2 linked regions of the Caenorhabditis elegans genome follow. The gene in region 1 interacts genetically with each later gene. Each region holds a gene or a part of one and is shown on either strand. Other genes may lie near its edges.

The links.
Region 2: of mrpl-54 (region 1) and spn-4, a change in one rescues a mutant of the other (synthetic rescue), as found in Caenorhabditis elegans (one study listed by BioGRID).

The regions. Positions count from the first base shown.
Region 1 is NC_003279.8:9,152,516-9,164,349, reverse strand, and holds mrpl-54 (Large ribosomal subunit protein mL54), read left to right. Parts: upstream 1-4,827; coding exon 4,828-5,229; downstream 5,230-11,834. Other genes in the region: eef-2 (Elongation factor 2), read right to left, coding at 1-140, 187-401, 694-696; clsp-1 (Claspin), read left to right, coding at 1,089-1,184, 1,229-1,535, 1,581-1,643, 1,687-1,999, 2,105-2,287, 2,702-3,406, 3,474-3,690, 3,890-4,264; F25H5.10 (uncharacterized protein), read right to left, coding at 5,364-5,549; F25H5.7 (Protein-tyrosine phosphatase), read right to left, coding at 6,939-6,993, 7,038-7,135, 7,181-7,332, 7,389-8,034, 8,079-8,504, 8,693-8,788; H32K16.2 (uncharacterized protein), read left to right, coding at 9,645-9,759, 9,888-9,985; slc-36.4 (Amino acid transporter transmembrane domain-containing protein), read right to left, coding at 11,275-11,389, 11,460-11,601, 11,645-11,823.
Region 2 is NC_003283.11:6,779,350-6,792,821, reverse strand, and holds spn-4 (RRM domain-containing protein), read left to right. Parts: upstream 1-7,918; 5' UTR 7,919-7,919; coding exon 7,920-7,969; intron 7,970-8,016; coding exon 8,017-8,121; intron 8,122-8,167; coding exon 8,168-8,230; intron 8,231-8,278; coding exon 8,279-8,994; intron 8,995-9,047; coding exon 9,048-9,169; 3' UTR 9,170-9,635; downstream 9,636-13,472. Other genes in the region: gck-2 (Mitogen-activated protein kinase kinase kinase kinase), read left to right, coding at 162-268, 319-456, 505-566, 620-705, 759-1,925, 1,980-2,284, 2,719-3,240, 3,831-3,933; ZC404.2 (ABC transporter permease), read right to left, coding at 4,412-4,517, 4,565-4,659, 4,839-4,847; spe-39 (Spermatogenesis-defective protein 39), read right to left, coding at 5,242-5,454, 5,507-5,610, 5,661-5,823, 5,876-6,191, 6,247-6,383, 6,434-6,595, 6,647-6,854, 6,901-7,061 and 1 more; ZC404.15 (uncharacterized protein), read right to left, coding at 9,694-9,869, 9,961-10,143, 11,738-11,858, 12,111-12,149.

The sequences.
Region 1 (11,834 bases):
GACCGGGTGAATCGATCAAATTGATCAAGAAACCGTTGTATTTCTCTTTCTTTCCATCAACCTCAACCGTCTCGAATTGGTTTTCTCCCTTGACGAACTCCAAATCCTTCTTCTCGAGCTCGAAGAAAAGAGAGATAGCACTAAAACAATATTATATTTAAGCTGAAATCCTAAAAATGAACTTACGTAGATTTGATGGTAATACAACGCTCCTGCTCATCCTTACGAGTGTCAGTGAAACGAGTCTCTCCAGCCTTGGATCCGGCAATAATACCGGCTTTGGAAACGAGTGAATCGGTAAGGGTAGATTTTCCGTGATCGACGTGAGCAATAACAGACATGTTACGAATGTTACGCTTGCGATCCATAAGCGCACGGATCTCATCGACCGTGAAGTTGACCTGAAGAGGAAAAAATAATTATTTCAATCGATAAAAATTATGAAATTTTACCTAACGAAATTTTTTCTGAAAATCCATAATTTAATTCAGATTTTGATAATACTGAATGGTTCTCAGTTGAAATTTAATTTAATTAACATATCCGGGAACGAAATCTCAGTAGGCCCAAAATTTGCTAATTTCATTTAATTATTTTGAAACTTTACGTTTTTGTCCTAAATTTTTTTCGAAAATAATAGACGACAATTCATCAGAACGTACAGTTACAATAATTAGAGGGATAAATACTCACCATTTTTAGTTTTTTGTAGGGTTCTCTTCAGATACAACAACAAAAAAGGACCGCACAGAGGATAGCGGCGTGACAAGAGTAAAGAAATTTGCGTTGTCAACTCCTCCAGCAAGATCTGTTAGATGTGCAGGCAAAGTACGGTAGAGCGCCAATTCAAACACTTGGCGCTCTGCCAACCAATTCATTTTCGCGCCTACTTTTGAATCTTAATGCCATTTTTTCCTTATTTTTCTACAAAAAATTGTCAAATCTGTTTAACTTTTTCTTAATAAAGTCAAAAAAGGGCCATTACATTTATCATAATGTTGTACTTTATAACTGACCGAAGAAAATCACGCTCTATAGACTGAAATTTTCCAAACTTCTTTTTAATATTGTTTTAGTTTAATTTCCAGATGAATTCTGATTCCTGTTCAACAAAAACCGTGTCAGCAGACGATACAGATTCTCCATCTTCTCTAGTTGCCGAACACACCATGTCCGATTCCCAGGTAATGGTTTTAAGACCGAAACTGGATCGAAATACATATTTCAGGAGCAGCTGATATCTAGTGAAAACACGGAAGTCGATAAGCAAGCTGAAGAAGACCGAAAACTTCGTCGTCTTAATCGTCGTAAAGCACTGGCTTTAGAACGAAGTCCTCTTCCTGTTCCGAAGCTTGGGAGAGTCCTATTATCTGCCAATAGTACGATTGACCTGACAAATGAAGATGATGACCCAAGTAACAAATGGTTCAAAAAGACGTTTAATGCTGAAAAAATTCCGAAATTGGCAAAAAGTCCGGAAGAAGCTAAATTATTCGCCGTTCCTCGAAAAATATCGAAGAACGCACCCAAGAGCCGTTAGTTTCGTTCGTAATAATTCTGATTTAACTTACTTTTTCCAGTTCTGACCAGCGAGACTTTAAAAAAGAAGCTTCAAGCTTCGATGTCAGCGAAGCGACGGAAAGGTATCGGCTTCGTGTTAAATTTTTACAATTTTTGAGTTTTCAGAACAAGAGCAACGTCGGAAAATGTATGAAGAGGATAATGAACATCTGAAGGCTGGCAGTGATGAAGAAGAGGAAGAAGATGTCGTTTTTAAAAAAAAGAAGGGAAAGAAACCTGTGAATGAAGAAGAATATAAAAGCGAAGATGATGAAGACTATGAACCTGAAAATAGCGGAGAAGAAGATTCAGATGAGAAGAATAATGGCCGAGCCGACGATGAAATGAGTGTGAACTTGTTGAATGACTCGTTTACTTACGATGTTTTCAATAATGTGAAGAGATCAGGACCTGGATCAACTGTTTCAAATTTCGACTCGTTAGTGTTTCATCTAAATTTATTTTCTGCGGTTTTTGTGTAACATATGTGTCAGATCTTTCAAAGAAATCTCTGATTGATAGAGTTTTTATAAATAAAATTTAGGCGTTCCGAAGCAGATGTTGTTGAAAAAAATGGAGTAGTTCAACTGCCGACAATGACGGAAATTACTGGCGGATCCAACGATATTCTCAATTTGTGCCCTGGAAGTTTTGGAGTTTCACAGTCTGCTGGTTTTCCAGACACTTTGCAAATGTTGATAGAAGAAGACACGACTGAAAGAAAAATGTATGTTTTAGAAAACTTAATCTCATTCCGGAAAATCTGAAATTGGAGCCCTTTTTCTTTTCCTTGAAACTATTCGCATTCTCAAAGAAAAAGTTTATCAAATCATTAAACAAAAGATAATTTGTTGTAAATCTTTTAAATAGAGAACTTGATAATTCTTTCTCATAAATTTAGAGAGGTTTTTTGGATCTCGTTCCTTTATCAAATCTTGATTATCGATAGAGCGCGCTTACAGCTCAACTGTGAAGAAATGAAATTTCGGTTGTTTTTTTTTGACTTTCTAATTTGTGGTTTTTTCTGCAAATCTTAAAAAAAAAATACAAGAAAAAATCGTCCACGATCGCTTATTCACTTTCGAAAACATTGTTCTGTGTTCCAAACGATTTAATTATATTAAATGAGATCTTTTTAAAGAAATCTGCCACAAAACTCGACGTCCGTGTCGTCAGACAAGCCCCGCTTGGAAGAATCTGAATCTGAAGACGAAGACGATGTTGGTGTGAAGAGGAGACTTCCGGCAGTGAAAAATCATCGAGTTTTGGATTCGGACGAAGAAGATGACGTCATCGAGGAGACATTGCCAAGCCAAGACGTTTTTGGATCGGGAACTTTGGAAGATTCCGAAACTATCAAAGAAATTTGCGAAAAATCTGGTGAATTCACTGAAAAGATAGAAACAGTTTTAGAAGAAAAAACCGAGCTGAAAAGAGTTGTTCTGAGTGATGGTGAAGATAGTGATGAAGAAGCTGAAGAAGCTGAAGAAGAAGGTGATGATGAAGAAGAACCAGAGGAAGATGACATCGAGAGTGAGAATGATGAAGCTGAAACCGAAGGAGTAGAAGCTCCGGATCCAAATTTCGACGATGAAGACGATGAATTAGCTATCTTGAAACGTTTGCAACACCAAGAATACAAACAAAAAATCAAAAAGAGAACACTTTTTGATGATGAAGCTTCACTTTCCGGTGATGATGTTGGAAGTGATCTAGAAGATGAAGAAGGCATGGAAAACGTTTATGAAGCAGAAGAAGGAGATGCAGATGATGTTCCCGATAATGATACTATTCGGAGGCAGAATCATAAGTTGTTGCTGAAACAGGAAAACGATAAGGAACAAAGGTAATATATTTTCTCTATTTTTTTTACTTTGGCATGTAGAATCAAAAATTAATTTATAATTTTCCAGAGAGCTTGCAAAACTTCAAGACCGTCTACTTGCCGACGGAGATCTCGGTGGAGTTGAGACGAATCGTCAATTCCGTTTCAAGTTACGAGAAGAAGTTCAAATTCAAATGGGAGATGATGTAGATGGAAATGATGGTGATGGAGAAGATGATGAACCAGAAGAAGATGAACAAAAAAAGAAGGAACGAGCCGAAATGATCAAGTTCAAATATGAACATGTGAGTTGATAATAATTTCCCACAAAAAATGTTTTGAGCACAAAACATTGTTCGAAAAAAGGTAATTAAAAATTATTACTCCTTTTGATTTTGTTATATTCTAAATGAAATCCAAAAATATTAAAATTCTTTCAAATGTTATGCATAGTTTTTAAAAAAGTTATATGTTTCTTGAAGTTATTTTACATAATATTTTCAGGCGGAAGAATTGATGTTGCTCGATGAGCCGAAACAAGGCGATGATATGTTTGCTCGCGCCGGAAAGTTATTCAAGAAAACTGAAAAAACTGTAATCGAATTCTCCGAAGAAACAATGTTCAAACCGAGACTCAGCAAGCCATCTCTACTGTCAAAAACCACTCTTGCTGTCACATTTCAAGAAGTTCTGAATGGACCTGGAGGTGCAGCAAAACAGATGTATGTGCAAAGCTTTGAGAAGCCAACTCCTCTCTCAACTGGACATATAAGTTCACCGTCGTCTCGATTGAGCACAGGAAAACGATTGCTGAAATCGCCAGAATCGTCAGCATCTGCAAAACGTGTCAGATCTAGTAAACTTAGCTCTTTGGAATAATTTTTCTATTGCTTTTTTTTTGTGAATTACAGTTATTACCCCTCAAAACCTCTGACATATCTGTATTTTGTTCTCACTTATCTGTGGATTTTATTTCTCTATTTTATGACTGGTTGTGTTATTTTTAAACAAAAAGATCTTGTATTTTATAAGATTTTAAAATTGTTTTTAAAAGAAGTTTGAATACTTTTTCGTATCTAATGTGCATGTATTATGTCGATCAAGTGTGCCGGAGAAAAATTTCAATATATTTCTCGATGGAGCTAGCAAATTTTTATAATAACTTCAAAAAATTCTAGAATGTCACATTCTAAAATTGCAGTTTTTCTATTTATAGTAAAAACAATTATTCGAAAAGCAAATAAAGTAAATCTTTTAAAAAATTAATTAAAGTAAAATGGAGGCAGTTCATGGTTGAGCTTTTTTCCGCTTTTTTAAAGAAAAGTTCGACCCGAAAAATGAAATTATCACATTTAAAGATATTTTGCTTGTACATAGTTGAACGCAATATTATCTTGCTTTGAGTATGTGCGATTTCAAGAGTTCTAGTTTCAAAATTTCAGATGCTCCGTTCGACTCTTTCAACAGTCAGTCGAACTACATCACTGATACCTCGACGCTTATATGCTCCACCAAAAGCTGCAGCAGCTGCTGCAGGTGTAAAAGTCGACAAATCTTTCGTCGAAGAAGATGCTGTCAAATTGGCAACCCACGTATGCATCAATGCATACACACAAGGAGATGAGCCGGGACCGAAAATTCTTCCAGACTCGGAGTATCCTGAATGGCTGTTCAAATTGGATCTTCGAGCACCAAGAGATTTAGAAGATTTGGATGCCGAAAAGGATGGATGGTTGTACTGGAGAGCTCTAAGAAAAAGACAAGTCGAGCAAAATCAACGAATTCAGAAGTTGAAGACTAAGTTCCTACACTTGCAGAATAGTCCCAGTATGAAGAAGAATTAAGTTCCGGAGTATTTTCAATTGTTGACTTTATTTGTTTTTAAATTTTTAGCATCAATCTATTATCTAGTTTATAGAAATGAATTTATTTTTACTTTTACTTAAAAAATCGAACTTATATATGTAATGCCAAAATTTCACTTTCTTTTCTTCGCCAATTTTTTCTTCTGCTCCTCTTCATGGTTCTTCTGCGCACGATCCGCGAGCACACTGTCAAAAAACTTTTTTCGATCGGAAATTTCGGCCTCTCCCCAATTAGTAAAGTTTCCGTCTTCGAATTGTGTTGCATATGGATCGTTATGGTTGCTGGTTGAAGGCTGCATCTGAAAATTATGAAACTAGTGAAATTGAGAAAGTCCAAGAAAAGAAAAAGTTGCACATTTAGAAAAAACTTTTTTCTGCAAATATCCGTGTTTTCTCAACAAAAAATCTCAGAAGGAAATTTCGATTGACTTTTTTGTTACAGAATTCTTACAGTAACTTAAAGGTGCACACACAAAATGTTTTTAGAACGCGTGACGAGACCCTTGCTCTAAAATCTGTCACCCATGAAAGTCGTTGAAATTTGGAAATAAAACAAGTGATTATGTTTTTAAAAACAAAACTTAGATAACTAAAACCTTTACATTTTTTTAAGAATATGATTTTTGAAAGTTAAAATTGGATTTTCTAATCATAATAAAAATCGCTATACAATATTCTAACGGGAAAATAGAATGATTTTTAGGTGAGGTGAGAAGTGAATAAGTGCTTTAAAAAACAACAAAACAGGAAACCATTCAAAAAATGGACAGATGGTCAGAACAAAACCCCCTCCCCTCTCTTCATTCGCCTTCACAAATTTATTGATCGACAACGCAATAATTAAAACGCGCACATATTTCAGTAGATTCCCAAAGAAATCAATTGGTTCTATGAGCAAATACAAATATTGGGGGTTTTAATGAAAAAATAACTAAAAAGGCAAGAGCTCCTAGGTACCCAAGGCTTTAGATTAACTGTACAGTAGCACGATATTTTGAATATTACGTAAACGTCGGTGGATATTTATATCGACTTTCGAAAGTCTTTCGAAAAGTATACTTTCTTGACGTAAATATGTCTTATTACGAATCTCATAAAGTTTGTTGAAATATCCGCATAGATTGTCCGTCTAGACTCTAGAGAATAGACATTTTCAACCTGTGGCTGTTACTTAATAAATACATAACAGTCCAAATGCATGCAACATAAATTATTTCTTAACGAAAAAAAAAACAGTTAAAACTTTGGCAAATACCAAAGTTTTCAAAAAAATAACATTTCTGAAGTAATTTAAGAGAATTACGCATGTTCGAACTTGTCTAATTTTTAGGTAGAAATAATTAGTATTTAAAATTCGTAGAAAGGAACAATTTCTTGGTTGACTCTGATTTGTGCCATAAACGAAGGAAATCATAACTAATGACCCCATAACTGTCTCAACAGGTATAATTAATATCAATTGTTATGTATTGAAATGTTGAGGAGTTTATTGAGTTGACAGTTGAATTGCTAATTTTATTGAGTTGACAGTTGAATTGCTAATTTTATTTGTGAGAATGTCAGTTAAAAAGTAGGTTTAAAAGTTTCCCTCGATCTGAAATGGAAATGAAAAAACAAATCAACCAAAGAAAACACAACACATGAGTTGAACTTTATTCCATTTATTAAAATTTCATAAAATAATAGTTCTATACTTTAACTTTATCCTTTTCTTTTTCTTCCGCTGCCAATTTCTCGCCTTGTCTAAAAGTTATCACTATTTTTAATTCCAAAACCAGCAAACTCACTGATTCTGGGCCGCACGTTTTGCCAACTTCTTCTGTGCATGCTTCTTGTATTGAGTCATAAAAGTGTCAACTCGTCCGGTACGTTCAACGACTCCTTCCTAAAATTTGGAGTTGTTGCATGTACAAAAATATGAAGAACATACCCCAATAAAGTACTCCATCAAAACAACATAAAGGAATAGGAATTGCATATGAGATTGAACAGCTTGGAAACGCATTGCACGCATCTCACGGACAATATCCAACATCTCAATATTCGGATTTTCCATTATGCGGATAGTCGCGTAGTCGATACCTAACAGAATATAAATGTTTGCCCCTGTGGAATGTATTGTTCATTTTATAACTTACCAACAAAAGTGGCAGTTCTTCCGACACCAGCACTACAATGCACACAAATCGGCGTTTCCTTTGGATTCACCTTCTTCACCCATTTATACAATTCGATCATCGGACGAGCATCCTCCGGAGCCAATTGATCTGGCCACCATGGAACTTGCACATGATTCATGTACAATGGTTCAGAAGAGGCATCCTCCGTATTGGTTACAGTCAAAGCATTCCAAATTGTTCCTGCGATGGCTTCTTCTTTGCATTCAGTCAGTGTGATCTCGTATTTTCCGAATTTCACAACTTCACCGAGTTTTTCAGGATAATAAAGAGCACATTTCTCAACACCACCTTCAAACAAAGTGCAAAGCATCAAGACATAGGCAATCTTCTCCTGATAAATCATATGCCAAAAGTCTGAGAGAGTCTCTGGAAGTGGTCCTTGTGTTGTGATATACGTGGACTGATCTTTCCCAGGCATTCTCATCCACGACGCGTGGATGTAGTCACGGTCATGGTTCTTCAGAACGACACGTGTCTCCTCGATACAACGAACATCTGCATAGCGATTGAGATCCGGATTAGCATCATAAGCGGTATAGGTACAGTTCGGTGGCATGTACCCTTTGATCTTATCCTGATGAAGCTTACTGATCGCTTGGCATTTCTAAAAAAGGGAATATTGTACAATCAACTAATCAGATTCCATACCATTTTAGCAGCTTTAAAAGCCCAAATCTTCCTTGGATCACTTCCAGGCTCCGGTGGTTGTTCATTATCTTCATCAACTGATTCTGACTTGTTCATCTTTTTCTCTTTATTCACTTTCTTGCTCTGCTCCTTCTTTTCTTCTCTCAGCTTCTCCTTACTTAGCTTCTTACTAGGATCCTTCTTATCCATCCTCTTCTTATCATCTTCCTTACTTGCCGTCTTCTTAACATCCAACAAATCATCCTCACTTTTCTTTTTCTCTTTCTTCACTTCATCGTTTCCAATCAATTTCTTCTGTGGGGGAACTTCATTATTAGAAGAAGTTGTTTTCTTTTCTTCAGAATTTGAGTTCTTCTCATCCTTAACAGGTTCGATGGTTTGTGGAGGACAATCATGTGATTTTTTAGTTTCGGTTTTAGTCTCCTTCTGAAAAATTGATTTTTTTTGAAAGAAAAAACTCGCAGTTTTTTGGATCTCTGATTTAAACTCTTTTCAAAATAACTAGACGCTGGATAAGGATTTAGAAACTGAAGTTTACTGCTCGCGATAAAACGAAAATAATTGATTAAAACCCAAATTACTATTATATTTACTATTTACTATGATTAAATTACCTTATTCTTCTTTGAAGCACACGACCAGAGAGCATATCCACTTGCGAGGAGAAGTGATGTGTTGCACAATGGATTTGTCCAATTGCAATCACTCATGATCCTTGCTAACTTGGAATTTTCTTCTTCGAAAGTTTAATCAACAATGATTGAAATTTTGAAGATTTATTGATTGATAAACAAGATACGAAGAATGTACTACGTTAATTGAAAAATGAAGTTCACTGAAAAAATTGCGTGATGAGAAAATACGAAAATAAATTATTATCTTCCAAATATAGGTAACTCGTTTGGAACCGTCTTTGTCATAATTTCTGCCCTTTTTTGGAAAATATTGCCCAGATGCAAAATTTTGCGGTTTTTGACTACGATACCCGGTCTCGGCGCGACCTGATATGTTAGAAAAATAAAGATATGTGCCTTTAAAATGTTCTGTAATCTCAATGTCTCGCTGATTTTCTGTTTTTTTTTTCGATTTTCTTATTAAAACCTTAATTTTTTATTATCAAAATATATAAACTGACATGTGAAACGTGGCTTATTTTTTATTTTGTTTTTTATTTAAGCGCCTCCCATTTTTTTAAAATGAACTAATAAATAAAAATTTTAACGAAAGGTCAGAAATGGGAGGAGCTTAAATAAAAAACAAAATAAAAAATAAGCCACGTTTCACATGTCAGTTTATATATTTTGATAATAAAACCTTATAAGAACTTTATATTAACATTTTATCCAAAGTACTGAAACAACTTTTTGGTTCACAACAATTTGTTCCGATGATCTGGTGTCTGCGCCAATGAAGTCACAGGTGATTCTTGTACTTGACGCACTCGGTTTTTCGTACGCGCAGAGATGATACGCCTTCTTTGTTACTGATATAAATCTAATAGGCTGATAGGAGGACTTTCAATAACAAATTCAATTTTCAAAGTGATCGTCTCTTTCTTATTGAACTATGTCCAATTATTTGATTACATTGCTTATGGTTATTGTTCTAATGTTAATATCAACCTCGTATTGTCAATTATTTGGTGGATGGTCCCAACCTTCATGGGGTTACAATTCTCAAGGTAAATTAGAATTTCTTATTAACATTCGTTGAAAAATAGTTAATATTAAATCATGTAAAATCTAGACAACCACAAAATTGGTTTAAAAAGAGGTTTCAAAGAGGTTTAAAAATATTAATTTTCTGCAGGTGTTGGATACGATCAATACGGTAACTCTTTCGAAGGTACTCCACAAAATGGAATATATTTGTTCTGTAATGGACATGGTTGCCCGGGACGTGGATAAAATGGAAACTACATCAAACATCAATACGAAACACTTGGGTCGATTCATGATTTATTTTTCATTTCTTCTTTGTTTTATTATTTACAACACTTTCAGTTTTATTTGAAAATTTCAAATGAACATTTTATTAATTTTTTAATCAATGTGTTGTTTCAAATATAAAAACTTTGAAAACTGTCGAAGCAAAGTGTCAAGGTCACTACATCTTTTGATATGTAGTTCAAGTATATCTATGTTGATAATAAATCATACTAGTGATAGAATTTTTGTTAGGTACTAATGTTTTGAGTACACTGGATATCGTTGGAGGTACTATTGTCTTTTTCAATTTGACGAATTATTTACTTTAGTACATTTGATCATTTGATCAAAAAATATATAAGTATATTTAAAAAAATTATTTGATTTTAAAAAAATTAAAAATTCTAGAAGAACATGTGGTCACCATACGTCACCTTAACTGTCGATTATCTATCAGAATTATCGAAAACAGTTTCGATATTCAAAATAGTTGAAGTAAGAAAATCAACAAGACGGACATCAATTAGGGCATCCGTGTTAGTTTTTGAATCTTAATTTCGTTTTGGGCAAAAAATCATTTGGGTAATATTTGGTAGCTAATTTCGTAGCATTTGGAGTGATGGTCTCTAAAATGTTGGAGAAATTTTGGATTTTAATTATTTAATTGAAATTGTTTTTGGAAGTTAGAAAATGTTTCTAAAATATCATTTTCAAAATTCCAAAATGTTCTGTTCGCGCTTTTATTTTTTAAGTCCTTTAAAATGTATTTTATTTATTTTTCAGTTATGAAGTTTCTGAAACTTATGAAATTGCCTTTAAAACTTGGGTTGTTGAAGCTAAACTTTTCCCTCTTTCTTTGTTTCGAACTGTCATAAAAATCATTCCACAATTATTGAGAATACTCATTACGAAAATTATTCAATCGGGTACATTTTTATTATACGAGCAAAAACCTGTAACCGCTACCACTCATTCAAATTGAAAAGGACCTAACTATACATATTTCATCTTCAAAGTAGACTAAAAAGTGTTATTTACTTCCGAAATCTTGTTTTCTTATCATCTTGATAAGTCGTTTGATGAGTAAAATTAATCGTAAAAAGTTTATCACATCGGGCCTGGTCAACCGAAAATTCAAGAAAAAACGGGGAGAAACATCACAGAAATTAGAAAAAATAGAAATGGTGTGAAAACGATGAATACTCGTAACAAATTGTAATGCTTGATGAGAGGACACATTTTACAAAAAAAAAAAGAAATATTTGAAATTAAACATCATTATTAATAATATCATCAATACTTGAATAGAGTCCAGCGCCAAGGAAAAACCATCCAAGAACAAAAAGAAATACGTTTATTATTAGTTTCTGGTAGAATTTGAACCTGAAAATGGATATATCTAAATAGTATTTTAAAATTTAAACTCTATCTAAAAAGTTTGAGAAAAACGTACATGTCTCCTTGTTTTTTGAAAACTGGCAAAAATACCATGCAATCCAAAAATGATGGAAGAATTAGAGATATCAAAAGTCCTGAAGTTATTCCAACTAATGGAATGATTTGCATCAAATTTGGTACGATAAGGGCAATGCATACTGAAAAATGCAAATCATTCTAGAATTTCTATAAAGATCTTACGAGAAATGAGCATAAGACCAAGACGAAGAGCATACGGAAGAAGTCGATGAACCATTTTGCGATCTTCAGAGATTTTTGATCGAAGACTTGGAAGAAGCATTTGAACAATCACGTACAATTGAATTGCACTTCCAAAAAAGATTTTCAATACTAGAAGTCCTTTGATTGAAACTGTTAAGCTGAAAATGCG
Region 2 (13,472 bases), on another chromosome or scaffold:
TCGAACGGCCTGTGTTTGTGTTTTTTGTTTGTCTTTTTCTCCTCCGACCACCCACTCATCAGTTTTCGCGATTTTTTTTTCGGCTGTTCATTGATAATTTCCATCGTTTATACACGTTGTTTCTCGATTTCAACACAAAAATATTCAAAATTTCAGGGGTAATGAGTGCCGATGTAATCAAACGATCAAATCCGGCAGATGATTACGAACTTCTGCAACGTGTCGGCTCCGGAACATATGGAGAAGTTTATAAAGCAAGAGATATCAGGTTAATAATCAGAAAAAAAATCATATTCAATTTCAATTTTAAATGTTCAGAAGTGATTCACTGGCAGCTGTCAAAGTAGTCAAACTCGAGGCGGGCGACAATTTTGCAGTAATCCAGCAGGAGATTATGGTCATTAGAGAGTGTTCTCATCCGAATATTATTGCGTACTTTGGAAGTTATATCAGAAGGTGAATTTATTCTCAGAATTTTCAGAAATCAATAGCTTTTTGTTTCAGAGACCGATTATGGATTGTTATGGAGTACTGCGGCGGTGGAAGTCTTCAAGATATCTATCACTGTGAGTTTGATATCTAAAATTCAAAAATAAACTGAAATTTACCAATCATTCAGTGACCGGACCACTTTCGGAACTTCAAATCGCCTTCGTGTGCCGAGAAACTTTGCGTGGCTTGAATTATCTTCACAATATGGGAAAAGTATGTTAAAAACTGATAATGTCCTCAAAAAAGTTTTTAAAAAATCTGTTCAGATTCATCGAGATATCAAAGGCGCAAATATTCTATTATCTTCAAGCGGTGATGTGAAATTAGCGGATTTCGGTGTCGCAGCTCAAATTACAGCTACTATTGGAAAAAGAAAATCGTTCATTGGAACTCCGTATTGGATGGCTCCGGAAGTTGCTTGTGTTGAAAAACGAGGTGGATACGGGATGCAATGCGATGTCTGGGCGACAGGAATCACTGCAATCGAGCTCGGAGAATGTCAGCCACCACTTTTTGATCTTCACCCAATGCAGGTTCTCTATCTGATGACAAAAAGTGGTTATAAGCCACCGCACCTGAAAGACAAGCATCGATGGACTCCGCTATTCCATGATTTTGTTCGTCAGTGCCTCACGAAAAATCCGAAAAAGAGACCTTCACCGGAGAAGCTTCTGACAAGCCATCCTTTTGTTCTTGGATCACTTTCAGCTAGAATGACAAGAGATTTATTGGATAAAGTTAACGGAGCACCAACTGATGTTTATGATCGAATGTCGAAGACTGTTGATGACTTGACTGAAGAAGAATCAGATATGGATGATGCTCCTTCACTTCTCACACCGGATGCTGCACCAATTCGAATCGGCCTGCCTGCTCATCTGAACGGTTTGAGATTAGATGCGAGATGTCTCGAACAACTATCCTCATCGCCGAACACTTCGTCAGAATCAGATCGGAGGACACCAACTGCAACGCCACGAAGTTTGAATCGAGGATATCATTCTGAAAGAACACTTCCTGCCAAGGAAATGCCGTTGTTACCAGACGTAGTTGGTGGTGATGCACTACTTCACTGTGGTAACGGAGTAATTCACGATGATGATGAAACTCTTCGAGCACCAAGAGCACCTCCGAGGACGCTTCGCGCGGCTCAGAAAGCTGCTGCTGGAAATTCGAAAAATCGATTCAGTTCTACATCAATTGCTTCAACACCGAGTGAAGATGGATTAACGACATTCTTCGGTATGCCATTGATTCCAAAGGTTCCGATGGGAGCATGTTTCTCAAAAGTTATGGATAGAACTGAGCTGAAAATCAATTGTGCCGCCTCATGGGTTCATCCGTTAACCGGTGCTCACCTTCTGTTATTTGGTACGGAACAAGGAATTTATTCTTTCGATACGAACTGCATGCCGGATGGAAATCTATCTAAAGTAAGTATTAAAAATTAATTTTCTGTTAACAAATCATTATTTCCATTATTTTAGATCCATCATCGACGTTGCTCATGGATGTTTGTGTACGCGGATCGACTAACAGCTATCCAGGGAAATACTCCATACGTCTATCGTCATGATCTTGTGGCTTTAACGCAGAAAAATTTGACTCTGAAAATGAGCAAAAATCTGAACAAAATTCCCGAAAAATATGTACCAAAACGATTAGCGATTACTGTCAGGATGCCTGAAACACGTGGAGCACTACAGTGTACAGTGAAACGAGGACAAGGAGCTCAAGCAAATTCTCTCTTTTTGTGCTGCGCTGTTCGAAAGACTGTTCACCTGTTTCAGTGGTAAGATCTGGAGATTTTCTTTTTTTGTTAATTTTTGCAGATTAAACTTCTCGAAAAATTCTCATGTCGGTTTAAAAATTTCGAAAAAAAAGGACTAATTTTATCTAAAATCCCAATTTTTCCAACTTGTCAATGTCGCATCTGCCTGAATTAAATATTTATTTGATTATCCTTACTTATTATACATTTTTGTAGTTTATCTCACATTAATTGTGAATCAGGGCTGAATCCAAAATGTAAGCGTTCCTATATGGATTATAACTTTAAAAAAAGTTAATATCCAAAAGCTGTGACACGGAAAATTAATGAGTTTAGCTAAAATAAGCCCTTTTCAAAGTTTCAAGCTACCATAAACTTTTTTATAATCTTAAAGAATTCCCACTACATAATTCGTTCATTTTAAGTATAATAATGCAAAATGGTTTTTGTTTCAGGTACAATCCAATGAATCAGTTTGTTTTGGTTCGAAGTGAGCCTATTCGAGAAGACATTCGTTTCCCCATTCGACCATTTGCATTGATTAATTCACGAACATCAGACTTCCCAGAATTATGCATTGGAGTTGGTCAAATGTCTGGATCAAATGAATATCAATTCAATATGATCAATTTCTGCTCATCAACTAATAACTCTGAGCTCAGTGGAGATTTAAACTCATCATACGGAAGTCTTGCCGATGACGAAATGCTTGAAGTTGGAAGTATGCATCAAATTGATAGAGATACATTATGCTTTTCATTCCGCAATAAAGTAGTGTTGACTGATCTACAGGGATTCGAACGCCCGAAGCCGTCGATCTTCACTTTCAATTTTCACATTGAATATCTACACGTCGTCGATGGAACGATTCTCGCTTTTCATGCAAATGGAGTTCAAGGCAGAGATTTGAAAAGTAATCTGAATACTCAGGATTTGTGCGATGTATCTCGATTATATCGTGTGATCGGTGATGATAGGTACAATTTTTGAGATTATGATTGAAAAAAATGAATTGAAAAAAATACAGTCATGATATTTAGTATAAAAAACGTAAAATAAACAAAAATTCTCAAATTTTGGAAAAAACAAATCATTCTTAAATATGAAAATGTAATTTTAAAAAGGCAATCTCCATATTCTAAAGAACCTTTTTTTAAACAAAAATCAACTTATTAAAATTTTAATAACTCTAGTTGTCTTAGTTTTAAAAAAATTCAACTTAAGTAATATCGCATTAATGCGAAAACGCAGATTTAAATATGGAATTAATGTTCATCAAGAGAGAATCCAATTTTTCTTGTTGCAAAATCGAAAAAAACAAAAAGCCAAAAAACGGCAAAAATGTGGTTTTGTAAATTTTTTCTGAAAACTTCAAAATTCAAATTTTAAACGACTTAATTGTAAGCATCCTATATATTATCTTACAATTATCATTGAAAGGGCGTAAATTCTATGAAAATATCAGAATAAAACAAAGAAAAATTCAAAAATATACAAGTATTTTTTCATAAATTTTTAGGTTTTTTTCAGTTTTTTAAAAGGCAAATCGATAAATCTTCATTTCCAGAGTAATAATCCTCCGATCGCAACCAATGTCACCCCGAAACTCTGGCGATACTTGTGACGTCAGCTTACTTATGGGACATACGGATACTCCAATCGCTGGATAAGATCTCTCTCATCGCATATATCTGCTTTTGTTTCCAGAAGAAAAAAACGTATTTAACCTACACATTTTCCCTACACCGGGTCACAACTCATGTATTCTGCTTTCTCCTCACTCGATTCTAGTTCATCATTATTTCACGCATAATTTAATAGAAAAAAAACCAAAATTCCCCCACCATCATCACCAATTCCTGTAAAATAAATCAATTTGTTGATCTCCTCGCTCTTTCCACCATTTTCTCCCAATTTCCGTGTTCGTTTCTTTTGTGTCAACTAATTGCCTTACCCTATCATATAAATACCGAAAAGTGCCCAATTTTATTATCAAATGGTTTTTTTGTTTCGCCTGATTCACTTTTTCATCGAGCTTCTTCTGTTTAACGCGCAATTTTCTTTTCCTTTTTTCTTGCATCCGTGTTTTTGTATAAAATAAGTCTTGTTATTTATTTTGAACCGGAGAGCTGTTACGAAATAATATCACTAGAATTTAACCGGATTAAGTGACCAGAAGATCAGGGTGGTAAACATTGCAGCCAACACAATGTAAATGAAGAGAAAATTCAGCGGTAGTTCTGTGGTGAGAAGTCTGAAAAAAATTCCGAATTTGAAATAAAATTTTGAAAAATTGCTCACCTTGAAACAGCGCCGGGCTTCTTTCGTCGTGGAGTTTTCGGTTTTCCACTCGAAATTGATGTTTTCTTAGAGCTGCTTGCAGTAGTCTTACTTGTCTGAAACAACAAATCTTTGAAATTGAGGTGCAAGCGCGCTCCATGGGTCAATTTGAATTTAGTGGTTTTCCGCCAATACCTAACGAGACCCATCTGTTGGGGGCGGAGCGTTTTCATTTTGACATGGAGCGCGTTTGTTTTCAAATCATTCTGATTATTCAAAAATAATTTTAACTTACCTTATTCATGATTTAGTCGAAATAAAATAAAAATAAAGGAAAAATAAAGCGTCGTGGAAATTTTTAAAAGTAAAAAAAAGTTTCACGGCGAATTTTTTAAAGAAATAAATAAAAGATAGAAAACAATAAATTTTATTTAAATAAATATCTATAACGACAAGTTTTTACATCTACAGAAAAAAAGAGAGAGCGAGGAACCAGTGAAAATGAATAATTCTTAATCATTTACAAGACTGAATAGTGAAATTATGTTATAGTATTAAGAAGTGAAATGATGCTCTATAATATGATAAGGATTGTGTATATTCTACAACTAACTATGCGTGAATGGAATTATGAAAGTGATGAGGGATGTGGTGAGGGTGAAAAAACATGTACAGTACATTGAAGCGAATTAATAAAATTACTTCCATTTTATCGACGGATTGTTGAGAGCCGCCACCGCTTTGAATGATTCCACAGAATTTGTTTTCAGAGATTTCGCGTATGAAGCCAGCGAGAGACGATCTCCTTTCTGTGTCAGACACTCGATGACCATTTCAGGAACATCAAATAGTAGTGCTAGGCGAAGACGTTCTTGTGCATCAGATTCGCCTTTCAGGATACGGTAGATGAACTGAAAATTTACACACATGAATAATAGGTATCTTGTTAAAACTATTCCTCACATCAGTCGGTGGAGATGGATGAGATCGTTTTACAATAGTCAGCAAATTGTGATTATTGATGGAAACTCCCCATTTACTGGTTGATTTTTTGCCTTTGAACACACCTGAAATTCAGTTAATTTAGATATTTTCTCAGCTAAAACCACAAAATTACTTTTAGCTGCACTGAACGTCATGGTGATAGTTTTCGGTTGAAGTAGCTTATCGATATCTGGCCAACGGCTTAGTCGAGTCAACGCTGAGACGATCGTTTGAGTGGCAAGTCGATCATTGAATCGGATCAATGTTTGAACTGATGGTAGAGAAGCTGCAGATGTCTGTAATACATCGATTATGAATGATTTTGCAACGTTCTGAAGAGTAATGTACCGGTGAATCGTCGTAATGGTACATCGCTGAATAATACAGTGACGATAGAGCAGGTAATCCAATTAGAGAGCTGGTTTTTGGAAACTTTCGGAAATGTTCTCCTTTATCTCCAGCATCCATTTTCTCCATTTGCAATTGGATTTCATAGTTTCTCATCAACGCTTCCATTTGTCGGGCTTCAAATTTCATTTCAGGAATTGAGAAGCTACCATGAAGCATGGTTCGGAGCAACGGGACTCGCTTGTCTGGATTTCGTTTGTATTTTCGCGTAGCTTCGAATTCAATGACAGATGCATGTTGATACTGACCAATGCTACTATAAAATGGGGAAATTGATTTCAACAAATTTTAATTTAGTTTTTATTAAATACCGTAAAAACTTGTTCATCTTGTCCCACTCGCCGGTGATCTGAAGATGTCGTGTGTAAACTCGGCATGCACTTTTCTGGCCATCCATTATTTTGCAGAATATGTTTTCCTTGAGAGTTCTCTCTAGAAAAATCACAATCTGTAAAGAAAGATAACTTTTTAAAAAATTAGTATCATAGCTGTTCGGACCTTGAAAATTGTATTATTGTCGTACGTGGCAACTGCTTGCTTCAAAAGTTGTGTCTTATCACGTAATGACCTATAGTAATCCAGTGTTACAGTATGCCCTTGAAGCATTCTCTTGATACTAGCCTCGATTGTAAGCGGCTGAAACCGTTCGTGGCGAAGAACCTAGAATCATAATTATCTTCAAAATTCTATATTAAAACTTTAATAGCTAACTTCGTGCTGATCTTTAAGTTTCCGATGTTCTTGTCTCAATCGATTATAATCCAAATCAAGACGTTGTGCTTCACTTGGTAAACTACTTGCACTTGCTTCAGAAACCACAGATGGAGCGGTCTGAATAACTGGCGCCACGTTAACGTTCTCAGCGAATTTCATGTTCAAGAAATCATCTACAATCTTGCCAGAAGCCCGAGGAGAGGTACTGCAAATTACTTATTTATATTCATAAAACAATGTAATTAACTTACTCTGTTATTCGAATATTCGCCTTGTCTGACACAGCAGCAGCTCTTCCGTCAATTTGCAGTGGAACATTTGTGGGAGTTGGCGTTGGGTTCTGCGGTCGGACGTACGGCTTCGGAGTCTCATCGCCACCGAAGAGATTGTCGACGGCTGCTCGAGCTTGAAGCTTTAATTTTCGTGTTAAACACATTGATTTGAGCAATATAATAATTAAGAAACGTGTTAATTTACTTTTTTTTCAATTTTTTAAAAGTAAAACATCTGGTCACGTTTATAGTTTTAAAAGATTTTTTTCGTTTTTTCTTAATATAATAACTACGTTAAAACTTACTTGTTTTGATTGTAAATCATCAAACAATCCGGATGAATTCGAGTCAGATTCATTCCAATAACTGTCTTCCGGAAGTTCAAAAGTGAATTTCCTTCGAAGGGCCATTCTTTATAATATTATCATTTCTTTTGCAAAGTATCTGAAAGAAACTATAAGAATGAGAAAAAATAGATAAAATTTTATGGGAAAATGGGAAAAGAATTCAATAAAAAATAAATGCAGAGAAAAAAAACGCAATTGACATGAAACGAGAAAAAGAGAAGAAAGGCAACTGCGTGCACGCTCCTTGCAAAAACTGCGTGCCAGGATTGCGAAGGCGGGGCTTATGAATGAAGCGCGAGTTTGAATCAAATAAAATTATTTTTTGCTCTTGGCCTAAAGAAAATCGAATTAAAGCTTTAGTTTCTAGTAATTCGTAAAATAATTTTTTTAATCGAAAATAGAACACAAAATTGTCTAGTTATATTAACTTTTAGACCTGATCCGACGTTCGTATGAACTAGAAATCTAGAAGATCACAAAGGCGCGAAATTTTGATTTTAGATTTTTCTGTAACTCGGTGGCGGGAAAATGTGAAATTATATTTTCAATCGTTTTATCATCATTTGGAATCATTTCTGCACTTGTCTTCTGTTGTCTTGTCTTTTCTTTACCCAGTTCCTCATTTTTCTTTATTCAACTTTTTTTTTCAGAATGCAAAACACACAGATATTTACTAACTTCGCTCACAGAGCACATGATGGGTATGTTTATCATTTTTAAATGTTGGTATTAAGTATTTCTTTTTCAGATTACCGTTTAACAGTGCGAATCCTTCCAACAAAGATCCAATTTTCACAATGCCAATATCGGTCAAACCGAAAACTCGTGAGCCGGCTTCTTTCACAGATAACAGGTAAATTTGTCGTGCCGTTTTAATGAATTCATCAAAAAACTTTTAGGATATATGTCAGCAATATTCCCTTCTCGTTTCGTGAACAAGATTTGGCGGCAATGTTCTTCGCGTGAGTTTTCAATTTACAACAAGTTCTGAATAAGAATATTAATTTCAGATATGGAAGAGTCCTGAGTGTGGAAATCGTCACAAATGATCGTGGATCCAAAGGGTTCGGGTTTGTCACACTCGATTCCATCGAATCCTGTGAGAAAGCTCGTGCTGCGCTTCACGAATCACATGTTCAAGGAAGAATTATAGAAGTGAGAAGAGCGACACCAACCCGCAGAAAGCTTATCAACAATCCACAAAATGAAGTTTTGCCACCACCAAAGCTGTGTGTCGATCTTCGAGCCCCTCATAATTTATGGAGAGCTGAGCCAATGCATCAGTTGTTCAAGGAAAAGGAGAACACAACATGTTTTCCCGAAGCTGGATTCATGATGGCACCATACCGTAGCAATGGAATTTTCAACACGCGTAGTCTTGTGCAGACCAAACCACCTCGATGCACCAAGCACAGCGAGCTCAAGCTTTCTTCAGCTGGTGAATACTTCTGCAAAAACGGCGAGCCTACGACGGAAACAAGTATTCTGATGTGCATGCACAGACAAAACTCACCATGCAGCAATAAGTGTTCTGATTCTTCGAATCACGAGCTGTCTGATGTGGAGTTGAACTCTATATTCCCACATCATCTTCGTGACCAGATTACTGCTCTTCTCGACACTTCAAACCATTTTGGATCAGGAAATAATAGTGCTAACAAAGGAAAGAGAGCACCATCTGTGACATCTTCTGGATTGAGATCATCAGAGAGCGAGACAGTTTCAGGTAAATAGTTTAGATTCTAGATTGTCGATTTTCATTTAAAAATCAAATTTTAGACGAAGAGATTCATTGGTCCCCACATAACAGCCCTGATTATCTTCTCGCTGCTCTCTACGAAGGTTCCACATCGTTCCACGGAAAGTCTGTTTCTCCACCAAAAGAATCGTCAAGCCAGTAATCAGTTCAACTGATACGCCCATTTTATTTCTACTAACTGCGTGTTTTGCATTTTATCGAACACCCCTAAACTTTCACTTAACCAAAAAGCTTTAACAAATTTTTTACGGAATCTTCTTGTACAGCGACACTCGTTGTCCTTGTCAAATGATTCGTTGCTAGTTTTTCTTCCCTGTAGCTTCTATATCGACCCCCCCGGTGTTATTTTGTAGGAATGCGTTTCAGCATCTTCCCTATTTTGCCATCTCTCACATACACTCAACATTAGCAATCGGAAAACAGATCTTCTATATTGAAAATATACTACCAGTCCGTTTAACCTACCTCGCTTGCTAACATTATTGAATGTGCCCACGTATTGTATTTTCTGAGCATCTTTCTGTTTTTTTTGTATTTTATAGACGCTGTGTTCGCCAGTTATTTTTGCATTCCTGTATTGCTCGAAGTCAAATGAAGTGCTTCGCCATATTCAATTGTTTTATTTTCAAAATCACCCGTTAATACTAGATTTCAGTTTGAATTTAATCACAGTTGTGAAAGATCATTATCCCGGCGTGTCATTGAGAGATCAAATGTTATCTTTCGGCACCTCTTGGCCTTCCTCCATTCATGATCAGAAGATTCACTCTCTTCTAAAATGACGTCGTGAGAGACTGCGGGAAGAGAAAAGGACGATGGCTGTCGGCACTTTGTGGATGCTGCTGGAAAAGTTTGGTGAATTTTGAAGTTTTGTGGTTTTTGATGATAACTTCAAAATGGATGGGAAAACACGAGAGAGAGAGAGAAACTTACGGATTTGAAGAGTGGGTGGAGAGGAAGGGTACAAACTGCTTCGCTCCTCATCATTTCCTGTGCCACGTCGACTTCGATTTTGACGACTTGAAAGTGTTGCGAAGAAGGACATTCGACGGGATTTCGATCGTCGACAACCACCGCTTACCCAACAAAATAGGCACGAAACAGGAATGAAGATACCTGAAATAAATATGCATTATTAGGCAAACTTGGAATTTTCATAGTTTTTTCCTATAGATTTTGATTTTCTCTAAAATTCCCCAGCGCCTATATTACAGGAACACTATTTACATTTTGAGAATGCGAATTGCACAACATCTGACGCGCAAAATATCTCGTAGCGAAAACTACAGTAATTTTTTAAATGACTACTGTAGTGCTCGTGTCGATTTACGGGCTCAATTTTCGAAAATATTTTCTCGAACTTTGGCAGCGATTATCAATTAAAATTATTTACAATTCGAAAAAGCGAAGCAAAATTGAAACCCGCTGTCCAAATTCGAAAAGAAAACATTTTCGAAAATCGACACGAGCACTACAGTAGTCATTTAAAAAAATTACTGTAGTTTTCGCTACGAGATATTTTGCTCAATACGCATTCTTGAAATTCAGTGTTCTCGTAATATCATATAGGAATGGCCCCTTAACACACTAAAACAAGAATCCCGACATGTAATTTGTCACCATCTTCGTTTTCTTCCCAAAAACAATATAGTTATTTTCTTTCCATATTTTTTGACGTCAACTTTCAAAATAGGCAATTATTTTCACCCAATCTCTTTCAGCACACCGCGGATTATGCATCTCTTTGCCTGCTTTGCGTTCACCGCTTATTCATCAACATGAGAAGAGCTCAGTGACGAGTTAAAACAAACAAGAAACGAAGAGTTCCGTCTGCAATTACTCCCTTTACTCGTTTCACCGAAAAAAGCAAACGAACGGGTGCTCTGAATGAAAACGAACAAACATCGACGGCTTCTTCCGCCAATTTAATTGATACAAAACTTTGACTACAGTAGTTTTGTTTTGGTTTCTTTAAATAGGCTAATCAAGATGAGAGCAAACATCTGAATAGCATATGAACAAGAATTAACGAATGTTTACTTTTTCAAAATTTACACCCTAGGTTATACTATCCAGTCGCAAAATTTTGCAATTTTTCCGCCAAAAATACCGCAGCCGGTCTCGACACGACAATTTTTGTTACATGGAAATTGTTGTGTGCCTTTAATGAGTACTGCATTTTAAAATTCATTGCTGCGGAAGTTTCATCAATTTTTAATTATTTTTTTGGAAAAAAAAAATATTTATTTACAAAAAATCAAATATAACATTAAAACCGGATTTAACAAAAAATTGTCGTGCCAGAACCGGGTACCGTATTCTTGAACATTTTGGTATACATCGTTTTCCGAAACGTGGACAGTTTTCGAGTTAACTGCCAAACTCTCGGACTAAGAACATAACGCTTGGCGTAGGAGAAGCCGTTGCTATATTTATTTATATTTCCCTACTATAATATTTGTTAGCCGAGTAGAGACGAATCATCTCTGGTCTCAACCCTTGCTTAATGAATTTGATTATGGGCACAATGCAATCCCTCCATGCACTTCGCGTACAATATATATTTTTTAATATTATCATTATTTCTTCTTAAATGAGAATCAATAAGATGTCCTTGTACAAAAATTTTTTTAAGCGTGCGTGACGTCACACGCAGCCTCGAATTTTTGATAGGACCCAGTGTCCTTATAGACTTAGCTTGTAAGCATACCGGTAAAAATTGCGAAAAAGATAACAGCTAAAAATGCAACAAAATTGAGTTGGCACACAAGATTCGGCATATGCCCAATGCAGTAAGAAACCAAGGATCCACATTCAGCAGTGCACTCTTCCTGAAATAAAGCAACGTCATCAACCTTCAGTTTTCACTTTCCACGAATTGCTCTCTCATCTTCATTTCAAGCCTTTCAACCGGAAACCGCCCAGGCTTTTACAGAATAAGGAAATAATATTGAATAGAGATCGAAGCACGAACTTCTTGTTCTAGAAGCAGGTGCAATTAATAAAAAACTACATTTTTCCAAGTATTTGTTAGGTCTCTTTCATTTGGATTTCCTATAGATGGCGATCAAACTGTAGCTCACCATAGACGAATAAACAGGATAAGCTGTGTCCATGTCCATAGTCAATCCATGTCGAAGCTTGTGTTTTGATTGTCTGGAAATTTAAATTAAACGTACAATTTTAAAATCTGTTATGATCCTCGAAAAATCATTGGTTGAATAAGCGGATGTTTGTTGTTTACAAAGTATGGAAGGTAAATAATTTCAGATTCAAATAAAACATTTCTTGACCACATGTAAATATGCAAAGAAGATTGGCCACCTAGATTCGTAAAGTATTGGAAACTATGTGAATCCATCAGATTTGCTCCCAATACCTTCACTTTAATAACTGTGATCTCGGTTTAATTTTTGTTAGATCTCAGGTACACATACTTTTTCTTATATTTTTGAAAAAAGAAGACCACCGAGAATATAAGCTGTCAAATTTAAGCGGTGTGGTGCACGATTATTTGAGGAGAATTGCTGTTTGAATGTGAATAATACCTGGGGGGGGGGGGGGGGGGTGATTTGATGAAAAAACATTTATGTATGGCTAAAATAACCAAATCAGCTTTGCCAGCCATATTCCAATAACTTTTGAATTTTCAAAAAATGTACAGTCAAAAAGTCATCCAAAAACGAATGTTTCCTACTGATTTTGTATTCTAAAAAATTGTTACTTTTTTTTTTAATATTTGTAAATTATAGCATTGTAAATTAAAACATCAAACATGAGCCACTACTTTTCACTAAATTTTTCAAAACCACAAATTTTTCTCAAAGTTTGTTAAAATTTGGAAATTCACCTTGACTACTTCACAAAAACGTGTAGAAAGTGTAACTGGGAAAAAACAGAAAAAAAACAAATACAGTAGTTGAAAACTGAATCGAACGACTTGTCGGAGAAGTCAGGAAAATGGCAAAATTTTATAAAAAACAAGTTGAAAAAGTCGGTAGAACTCTTTTTTCTAGTCCTGACAGATGATAGAAATTATGGAAATTTAGAGAGAAAGTTTGGGACCATAGGACAGAGGAGGCGGACTTAACCGAATGGAATGCTATAAAAAAGAAGAAGCGGTTTGTCGAAAGAAAGCTGTGGGAGGGTGTGGTCTCCTAAAGATGAAAAAGAGTAAGAGAAAAAGACTTGTGCACAACTCGAATAATAACGGATCGAACGGAAAAGAAGAATTGAAAGAAATGTAGACACCGGATGGGTTGAAACTATTAGGACACATGGACCAGAACTGAGGCTACTCGAAAGAAGAAATAGTTTTTGATCAGCCAAATATGTCTGGCTTGGAAAAATGAATTATATGGATAAATAGAACAAGATGCCTAATCAAAAAAATAAAATAAGATATTGACATCATTATTTGCAAAAGTGTCAAATGAAATTTAATC